Drosophila melanogaster: one gene and its partner. The protein of the gene in region 1 binds, or shares a complex with, the protein of each later gene. Each region holds a gene or a part of one and is shown on either strand. Other genes may lie near its edges.

What was found.
Region 2: HDAC1 (region 1) and E2f2 share a complex: the UniProt entries of both Drosophila melanogaster proteins name them as parts of the DREAM complex.

Annotation. Positions count from the first base shown.
Region 1 is NT_037436.4:4,624,705-4,630,171, reverse strand, and holds HDAC1 (histone deacetylase 1), read right to left. Parts: upstream 3,439-5,467; 5' UTR 3,233-3,438; coding exon 3,190-3,232; intron 2,753-3,189; coding exon 2,640-2,752; intron 2,562-2,639; coding exon 1,316-2,561; intron 1,221-1,315; coding exon 1,057-1,220; 3' UTR 705-1,056; downstream 1-704. Other genes in the region: axo (axotactin), read left to right, coding at 1-356. UniProt on the Drosophila melanogaster protein: Catalyzes the deacetylation of lysine residues on the N-terminal part of the core histones (H2A, H2B, H3 and H4).
Region 2 is NT_033779.5:21,153,548-21,158,770, forward strand, and holds E2f2 (E2F transcription factor 2), read right to left. Parts: upstream 3,203-5,223; 5' UTR 2,497-3,202; coding exon 2,197-2,496; intron 2,135-2,196; coding exon 2,025-2,134; intron 1,819-2,024; coding exon 1,560-1,818; intron 1,439-1,559; coding exon 1,099-1,438; intron 1,033-1,098; coding exon 929-1,032; 3' UTR 746-928; downstream 1-745. Other genes in the region: Mpp6 (M-phase phosphoprotein 6), read left to right, coding at 3,424-3,912; Coq3 (coenzyme Q3), read right to left, coding at 3,970-4,696, 4,757-4,933, 4,988-5,016. UniProt on the Drosophila melanogaster protein: Transcriptional repressor that binds to E2f sites and represses E2f-regulated target genes. Binding to E2f sites requires transcription factor Dp. Acts synergistically with Rbf2 to antagonize E2f1-mediated transcriptional activation.

The DNA of each region.
Region 1 (5,467 bases):
GGCAGCCGCAGGAACACAAATCCCGCCACAAAGCGACCGATGACACAGAGGCTCCAAAGCAGCAGCAGCAGCAGCAGCAGCAGCAGCAGTCCTTTGATGTAGCCACAAATGCCAATGGGTCCTCTCTGCCAGCGAGTCGGGTGAAAAATCCGGAGGAGCCGGGAGGAAAATCCCCATTGGTGCCGATGCGACAGCATCACTCGAAAGTGACGCGCCCACCCCCGCCGCCGACGCTTTTCCTGGAAAACTCACTGCTGCAGCGCCAGTTCGCGAATCCAATTAGTTACTTGGGTGGACCGCGTCTGCAGCCGCGCAGTAATCGCACCAGCATCGACTCGATATTATCGCTGGATTAGCACCGCAGCCAGTTTCCAGTTCTCCGCCCACTGCAATCCGTGGAAAACCTCGCCGACTAGTCACAAACTGTCAACTGGTGGGCGGGAAAACCCCCAGTGGATCCTTTTCTCCCCCCCAAATGCCACAATCTCCTCAACTTAGAAACTCAAAGTTAAAATCTTAAAAATTGTTAGCTAGTCCTAGTTAAAATACAAATAAATTGTTACAAATTATCGTTTAGTTTGTTACTAAGAAACCTAAATGTGGAAACGTAAGTATTTTGCTAAAAATGGGAAATCGAATACTTCCAAAAGAAAATATTTAAAAGATAGCAGCTCAATTAATTTTCCATTAAAATTAAAATCAATAAATGTATAAATATTTTTATTTGATTAAATTAGTTTCTGCGTTATTCGCCACATTGGATCGCTTGTAAGTATGCATTCACTTTTTGCTTAGCTATACACTTTCGATCTTAAAATAAATTGTGTTTCCGCCCACTGATTACTGATTTATCCCCCTTTGGGAATATTCCCACTGAAAAAAAGGAGCCGATCGCAGTGGGACCTTGTGTAGGGGCGTGTAGAAAAAGCCCTGGACATGGCTACGGGGCGTGTTGGTGAAGGGGGGCGCGGGAATGAGACGACACTAGGTGAAATCCGGTGGCTTGTACTTCGGCGGTCGCTTAATTGGCTTCTATAACCAATTGCGGCCGCCACGTCAAATGTTGTTCTCCTTGGCGCCCTTGGCCCCGGCACCGGAACCTGATCCCGAACCGGATCCGGCATTAGCTGTCGCTCCGGCATCATTATCGCTCTTGTTGTTACTGTTGTTGTTGCTATTGGTATTAGACGCCGTCGATTCCTCGCCATCAGCTCCGTCGCCTGAAAACAGCATAATGGTTTAGTTAGTAGGGTTTAAATACAAATTACAAGTGGTCAGTAGAACCAATTAAAATGACTAATGGTTAATCACTCACCCTTTTCCTTTTCGTCCTTGATCTCGCTGGACGTCTCTGAGGATGCCTTGTTGCTGTTGGTGTCCTTGTCGAGACGCGGCCGCTTCCGCTGACCCTTGTACGAACGGTTATCCCTGCGACCGCCTTCGCCCTCATCCTCCGAATCGGAGTACTCGTTCTCGGGCACAATGCGCTTGTCCTTGTCGCTCTGCGGCAGGCGATCATCCTTGTCGACCTTGTCCTCGTCGTCGGACTCATCGTTGATGGCATCCTCGGGAATCGCTTGGATTTGAACGCCCGGAGCGTGAGGCAGCATGCGCAGGTTCTCGAACAGACGGTTCTTGATCTTCTCCAGGTACTCGGATGTATTCTGATTCGTCATATTGCTGGGACTAATGTGCAGCTTAAAATCGGGCCCAAAGTACTCGAAGTAATCGTTGTAGGGCAGTTCGTTGGCTATCTCCACGGCCAGTGCAACGGAGGTCTCATAGGTCCAGCAGCGGGATACATTACGAATGGTATAACCACCACCGCCGACCATCAGGAATGGCAGGTTATATTTCTTCACGAACTCCACGCACTTGCCGTGACCCTTGACGGTGAGATTGAAGCAGCCTAACCGATCGCCAGTCAGCGAATCGGCGCCACACTGCAACACCACGGCTGCCGGCTGGAATGTTTCCATCACCTTGCTGATAATGGGCACAAATATGCTCTCGTACGCATCATCATCCATGCCATCACGCAGGGGTATATTCACCGCATAGTACTTTCCCTTGCCGGCGCCAATGTCTCGCAGATCGCCAGTGCCCGGGAAATACTCTCCGTACTTGTGGAAGCTGACAGTCATCACACGATCGGTGGTATAGAACGCCTCCTCCACGCCATCGCCGTGATGGACGTCTATATCTATGTAGAGAACACGCTGATGGTATTTAAGCAGTTCCAGAATTCCCAGAACAATGTCGTTGACGTAGCAGAAGCCCGAGGCTTCCGATTTTTTGGCGTGATGCAGCCCACCGCCCCAATTGATGCAGATCTCCGAGGCTTGCTTATTCAGTTTTACGGCCGCAGCTACGGATCCTCCGGCGGAGAGTTGGCAAAACTCGTATAGTCCATCGAAGACGGGACAATCTTCGCCGACATTGAAACGCTGCATCTGCTTGTTGTACTCCGACATGTTGTCCGGCCGAATGGATCGCAAGAACCGGACGTACTCGTCCGAGTGGAACTTGGTCATCTCATCGGCAGTGGCTTTATGGGGACGCTAGAATAGAGAAATTCGCGTTTAAATCTATCATATATATATATATATCTATCATCACATATTAATAAAGTAACTCACGTATATTTCCATTTTTCGATAGAGCCCATAGTTGAGCAGCAGGTTGTGGGTCATGCGTATGCGATGGGGCTTCATGGGATGACCCTGGCCATAGTAGTAGTTGCCAATGTCGCCTATGGATCAAAAATCGCAATTATGAGCACGTTGAAAAAGTAATTATTTGCCACGCTATGTGGAATACAAATTTTAAGGCCACTGTCGGCGAGGCGTCTGCCTGAGAGCAGCACTTTTTCCGAACGACCGCAGTAGTAGCACTTTCGCCCCGAACGAAAAAGCAACAAAAACACACAGAAGAGGAAGATAGACATCAGGTACATACACACACAAACGCATACAAACGCACTGCGGTCGTATGGAAAAAGTGCGCTGTGGACCGGAACGCGCTCGTACAGTCGCCGTAAAACTTGAAATTTGCAAAAATGCTATCATCTGATGCTAAGTGGATGCGGAAAAAACACAAAGTCGACATGGTAACCCTAGCTGGCACTTTGTAAACACAAATTACCCATCTAGTAGGCCTTTTACTTCCATTTAAATGCTCAAAACTTACTGTCGTAGTAGTAACAAACGCGCTTTTTGCTGTGAGACTGCATTTTGCGGTGCTGTTGGCGGGTCTTAAATCCCCTTAAAGTCGATGTTTTTCTATCCTTCGTCGATCGGATGAACTTGCGAGCTCAGAAGATGGTTTACTTTGGTGCCGGTCCGATTTTTGGCACTTTGGCGCAACTATATAGCCAAAATCGGAGCGCACAAGACAAATTCGCGAAGAGGAAACCTCTGCAGATGGGCAGTGTGACCGCGGACTTTTTTAAATCCACACTTCCCGGCTCTGCAGAATATACTTTTAATACTAACTGCATGAATACCGAAAATACCAAACAAATATATTTAATTATTTATTAAAGAAATATATTTAATAAATTTACATATGAAATACGATTACCCTCTTCATACAGAGTGGTCATTTTTTATTAGATATATAAACAATCAGACCTATGTACTTATCAAAAATTATCAAATATCACGACATATTTTTTGGAAAAATAGCAAGGATCAATTATAAGTTTATAAAGCAAAGTTTATTGGCTAAGATCACGTTGCAGAGTCTGAAGCTGGAACTAGAGATGTTGTTGGAAAACATTTAAGTTTAAGCATTCGAATAAACTAATTGATTTCAATATTTTCTATACAAATATAAATGATTCATTATAATTTAAGAAAAACAAAAACACAGAAGTAATAGGTTGTAGTCCGGGGTAAATAATGTTAAGTCGATTAATCGATAGGAATCCATGCTAATATCGAACTTGGCCCATCGCCAGAGGGTGCATTCCCTCTCTCTCTTTCAGAGCATCACCCATCTCGCTCTAAAATCCACCGCAGTTTCCCACGATTTTCCTTCTCACTCTAAAATTCACCGTTGAACGACTCGGACGCGATTTTCCAGCGCGGGTGATTTTCCTCCTCGGTCGGCGTTTTTCGGCGGCTTCTTATCGACAAACAATAGTGCTCAAGTACAACGAGATTTTGTAGTGTTTTGGAGTTGCTGAATTAGAGGCGATTGTTAATTGAATAAAATTAATAAAACGGCGACGCGTAAGTTTCCAACTCCCCCATGTGCAAGTGTGCGTGTGTGCCCTGTGTGTGTGTGTGAAAAAAGAGAAAGAAGAATGGAGTTGCAGTGGAAACACAAACACGCTCTCTCGCTCCATCTCCCTCGCACGCACACACTCACTGGGCGAATGAAGAAGTGGAAAAATTAAAACCGAAGTAAAGTGACAAAGCGAAGTGGCCAATAATGCAAGAAAAAACATATGAAACCCGCAGTGAACATTTAAAACAAAATTAACATTTTTCATAGGCGGCTAAAATATCCTGCGCAGCTTTTCTCTTTCCGACTTTTCTCTTTTTCCCTTAAGAGTCTTTTCCTATGCCTTTCCCCCTCGGAGACCAACGCCTCTCCTTCGCAACTTTCTGTTACTTTATGTTAACTTCTCCCCTTCTTTCTCTTGGTTTTCCTCCTGTATTTTTCTCTGTTGTTGTTGCTGTGCCCGCAGGATATTTAAGACCTTTTTTTGCTGGCGTTTAATTATAGTTTTCATTGCTCTCTCTCCTTCCCGCATCTCTTTTTCCAATTAGCGTCGAAGTTCGGCGTAAAGTAAACAGCAAAAATATAGTATTTGTTGTTTTTATTTGGCCCGCAGACCGTGCAGTAAAAACAACAACTTTAACAGGCGTAACTGTAAAGTCCGCTTTGCTTTTGATAGCAAATAAAGAGAATCGGAATCCGCAGCAAAGTTTTGATTTATTCTAATTAAAAAAGGTAAGTGCGATATAAAACCGGATTATAGCTCCTTTTCATTCGCACCTCCTTGGCCCGAAGTGCCGTTAGGAAGAGAAGCCAATGAACGCAAATAAGTAAACACAAAAACTAAAAAAAAGAGTGCTAGATTTGCTCTCCCGCTGCATTTCTATTTATGCTTCTGTGGCTGATAATGTGTACAGTGAAAAGTCGAAAGATGAAAAAATAATGAAGAAATGGAATAAAGCTTAACTTAAGGAATCTTAAGACTTGTTGTTTGTTATATTTCGACACATACTAACCATTTCTTCAGGCTTCTTTGCGCTTAAAAAAATACCCAATTGGAGTAAATTTGAAAAAAAAAAAACATTTCAAGCTTTATGATAATTTGGTTCTAAAAATTTATTTGCAACCACTAAATTGTGTTTGGTTCACTTTATCGACGGTCTACCGTATTTAGTTATTGCTCCGGCTGCTGTAAAAAGTCAAAGAGCATTTGTTGTTGCTGCTATTGTAATTGCTTCCA
Region 2 (5,223 bases), on another chromosome or scaffold:
TTCTCAGGATAGGCATTTCCCTAGTGGCCATCTTAACAGACAGCATGAAGAGCGACATTGCAATCCTATAACCTGTAACATTAAAAAGAAGATAGTTAACAATCCCAATGCTTGACACACATTGAAATCCATCACATGCCTAGTCAGTCCGGTATTCCAGAAAATGATCTCGTGTACCTGGCCGCCAAAAATGCATCGAAGCAAGGAATTTTCACCGAAGTAAGTTGGACCATTAAAGATGTCTCGGTTTAAATCATTCAAAAAGACTGGGAAAGGGAAAACGCAGATTTTGCTGCAAACAAACAGCGGGACTACTGCACACTTTTCCCAGACACATTGAAAAAACCGTGGTTAAAAATCCCAAATGTAAACTTAAATCTACAGAGATCAAAAGAATCAACAGACTTCTCAGCGATAACGGATTCGACAATTATACTTTGAATAAAGTACATGTTACAATAACATAAGGGGACCAAGTAACGTTTTCGATAACGTATCCCACATCTTAATCAGCTGTTCCAAGTACAACACTTTCCAGCCCTGGAAAAATACCAAGACATCAACCATCTCTCTAAAAACGTAAACATAAACGCTTAACAAGGCATCATAGATTTTCTAGACCAAATTAAAACAAACCTATAAATCTTTCCAACCTTCCTTGGCACTTTCCACATACACGACCAAATAATTCCACGACATTTACGGAAGTTACCTAAAACAAAAAAATACACAACCTACAATGTGTGCATTTACGAATTTATTGGTTTTGCTGTTATTTGCGAAATTACAAGGTATTACACTAATTAAAAATTTCTAGACGATATAGAGAAATCCAAAGTCAAAATTGTACTAATCATAAATATTTGCACAATGCACGCGGCCAGTTGCAGTGTAGCTATAGTCCTAAGGTGTACATCCCCTTCCACAGTTAGGAGCACTGAACATCAAACAGCTCGCAAATACCTTCGTCGCTTTTTAACGCAAAGTTGAAGTCTTCCTGCGGAGGATTCAGCTGCAGCAGCGGCGGGTTTTCTGCAACATCGGACAGCATCAAGTTAAACAGGGGGTCTTTTAAATTGGCAAGATAAGAAGACAAACCTAGATTCGGATCATCGGGATAAAATCGCCGCAGCGAATGACCGGACAGATAATTTTGGAAGATTATCTTGGCCGTCAGCTCGTTCTCCAAAAGTTTCATCTCATCTTTCATCCCGGGATTGCACGAGTAACCGTGCTCGTCGGTGATCACGTTCCCCGCGCATGCTGGAGCGTTACCATCCTCGCTGGAGTGCGACGACGTCGAGGGTGAGGGCGTGTCCAGACGGTGATAGTCAAAGAACCCATCCACATCGTGCGGATTTGTAGTACTCTTTCCTTGGTTCGTCACCAGGCGAATGTCAATTGCGCTGCCATTGTCCAGCGACACGGCCAGCTCGTACTACAAAAACAATGTTTCGTTTGAATCCCATATTATACGATAAATTTAGATATTTCTTCGTTGAAAGAAATGGGAAACCTCGAAAGCTAGTTTAAAGAGCTCCGACTGGTAAGATACCTACATGATTACGCTTGATATCTACTTCCTCGTCATAATTAGGTATTGTGAATACGGAATCATCTCCAAAGATGTCCAGCAGATCATCACGTGTCACATATGCATACGACCTATTCGAGGGATCCTGCATAACGTAGCGCAGATTGCGCTGTGCATACTCCAGTTGCCTGTCTAGGTCATCCTCCAACATTTTCAAATGATTAGTCCGGCTACGTGCCAGGTCGTAGTTCTCTTGGTCCTTGGCATTGTTAAAGCCCCCTCCGCTGGAAAATGCACATTATCAATAATTTATCAAGAAATATTTATGTGGAATCATACTTTGAAGATGATCAAAGTAAATTCCACCTGTTTGTACTGTATTAAGTATTAAGTGCTAAAGGGCGACTTCCACCCCATTTTGTTTAATTTTGTTGTCACTAACATTTTTAGTTCTAACTAAAATGTTTCATAAAATGTAAGGGGCTCTTACCGCCAGCGCACTAGGGAGCAGTGTCTGCCCTTATCAATTAGTCCAATGCCCTCTAAAACATTGGTAATATCGTATATTCGGCGCTTCTGTACGTCCAAGATTTTGGTTGCCTGCAGAGGGGAAATTTGGACGATGTTAAGGTAGAGTACTTAATGCTTGGCCGTGTTAGTACCGCTTTCAGGTCGATGGATCCTTCGTTGGCCTTCACGAGATCCACAAACTTCTGTGTGAGCAGGACCAGTGAGCCCACGGAGCGCTGTTGTCCAGGCTGCGATTGCGATTGTGAATTCGACGGAGACTTGATTGGCGTTGGAGGATCCGGTGATGTGTCCATGCTAACGGGTGTAGACTCGTAGCTCTGCGACCGGACCGAAGTCTCAGCCGAATCCACCTTCATCATCATAGCCGAGGAGGTGGTGCCCGCTGCGGAGCTGTCTCTTTTAACAATACTCGCGGTTTTGCGCTTGTACATGGTCCGCAATCGACTCGATGACTATACTCCTGTCCTTGTAACTCTTTGCGTGGCTGCACTCAATATGCAGCGATCAAGAAGCCGGAATTAATTGCACTTTGGAGCGAAAATTAAACGAAAATACGAATGTTGGCGCTAGGTTTGCTTTCCGCCATTTATGTCATTTTTTTCATTCTCCCTCTATTCTTCGTGCGCACTGCGCAGTGTGGCAAAGCGACGCTGCCACGACGATAGTAAATCGATTAATCGATGCTTGCGCACATTTCAACACTATATTTTAAACAGGTAAACATTTTTAATATTTTGATCTTTAATTTCAATTAATTTTCATTTAAATTCTGTATTTAGTTTAGTCTGCAGTCCAACACACAGATCATCCAATGTTTTCTACTTGGTCTTCAAATGTATCATCACGAATAAATAATAATTATTTTAGTACTCCATAATATTTAGCCATTCGTTAAGGTTTATTGTCCGATAATATTGGCGACAACTTTTAAATGAAATTGGGTCTTTTTTAGGTTTCAAATTAAAAGCATTAACCCTTTGAAGGCGCCTGTGCTAGTCTTGATCGTTTACAGAGCATGTATAGCACAGCTGGAAGTTTTCTTAAGAGTGCCCATGAAGATGGAGTTGAGCTTGTTTGTCAGTAGGGTGAATTTAAAATTTTAAAAAGATCAACTTGATAACGAAGGATTGTTTTAACTTTCAACAGTAATTTAAATATTTACTTTAAACATCGCATAAACACGAGGGCGCGCCACGTTTTCTAGCTAGGCTGAACGATGATTTGCAGCACTGGCTTTCCCCATTTGTTGTGCTCGGTCATTCTGCTTTTGAAAAAAATTAAATGTGCCTGATGGTTTCGCCCTAGTTTTTAAACTCAAAGGACTTCTACTATATTAGATTCAAAAATAAATAAGGAAAATGCCATCCAAATCAAAGCCGAGACTTTCGCGTGGTGTCCTGGACATGAAGTTCATGCAGCGCACAAAAGTTAAAGTGGAAAAGGAGGCAGACGATGAGCAGAGCAGGGCACTGTACTCCAACGAGATCAACCAGAAGATGCTCAATTCCACCTCGAATTTTGTGGTGGAGTCCAGCTACTCGATATGCGCCGGCCTGATAGACGGACGCCTCAGTTTCCGCGGCATGAATCCGGAGCTAGAACTTCTCATGGAGCAGGATCTGGCGGAAAAGCAGGGCCGCACAAGGCCGGAGCAGCCCAAGGAGGTATCCGACCAAGACATGGTAAAGGCTTATTATGCCAACAAGGCGCCCACGGTCTCCGGCAGCATGAGCAAGAAGTTTAACACCAAAAAGGACTTTAAAAGGAAGCAAATCGGCGGAGATAGTGATAGTCCGCATGCCATGAAGAAGCAGTACTTTAAGAAACCACGCTCGGGTGACGAATAGTTTACTACTTAGTTGTTACACTCGTGACTTAGCTTTTAGTTAAATAAATATACGAATTCAATTGTACTCGCGCTGTGCTTGTTTCACCGCCTGCAAGGCGTAGCACATCTGGTTGTTGTTGATCCATCGCCAGGTGTTGCTCCAAAAGTCGTAGGTGCTTCCATTTACCAACACCGTCTGACAGTTCACTGCAGATGAACGAGAGAATAAAGAATAGCCTAATCTGAATATAAAGCCTGAGATAAACTTACTCGTATCCAAGATGCGCTGAACGTCCAAGGGCGAAATCATTTTGTCCCAGTGGTGCGTTCCCCTGGGCACCAGATTGAGAACATACTCGCTGAGTAACACGCCACCGAACCAACTGGGTATGGTTTTGTTCAAAGTGGTGATAAAGATGGATCCTCCAGGCTTTAGGCTGCGTACACTGGCCTCCAGCAGGGACACTTTATCTTTGACGTGCTCCAGAACTTCAGACACTATCACCGCATCATAGCATTCGCAATTGGCCTTGGCATGCTGATCCACCGGCTCAATTTTGTACACCACATTGCTGGCCAACTCCGGACTGGAGCATTTGAGATGCTCGCGAGCAGCTTCTATTAACTTCTCGCCAAGATCTATGCCAGCCACCTGGGCACCCAGGCGCGCCAAGTGTTCCGTAAGCAATCCTCCGCCACATCCGACCTCCAGAATATTTTGACCCAACAACACTTTGGTGGTATTTACGTAACCTGGCTTCACAGTGCCACGCGAAACGATGCCATCTCTGATAAAGGGAACCCTGAAAGGTGGAAAGGAACTTAGCTATAAACCTTTGGAACATCAAATCTGTATAGCTTACCTAATCTCATTCAGGGCATGTAGAGCACCCATGGTTCCATTTTGATTCCACCACTCCGAGGCGTGATTCTCATGGTGCCGCACTTCCTTTTGGGTGCCGGCATCCAACGACTTCGCTGTGCTGCTGCTTCTAGTCGAATTTCGCCCGATAGAACAGGATAGCAAATGTCTCAGTTTGCTGGAATGCAAAACTGTAATGTAATCTACTTTTGCAGTCTATTTTTTGACTTACCCGCTTACTAACAAGGCATTTCGCATCATTTTTGCGAGAAAAACAAACGTTGATAAACAAAAACAGCTGACTTTGTTTTGCTGCCCGGCGAAAGCATGGGCGTAGCCAGGTGCATTAAGGGGGATTGACAATTCTTGAATATTAAACAATAACTATTATTTGTCATTTTTAAACACCCATATTGTAAGGCATTATAGTACTTTCAGGTACTTTTGTTCAGGTAAAAATTTAAATAT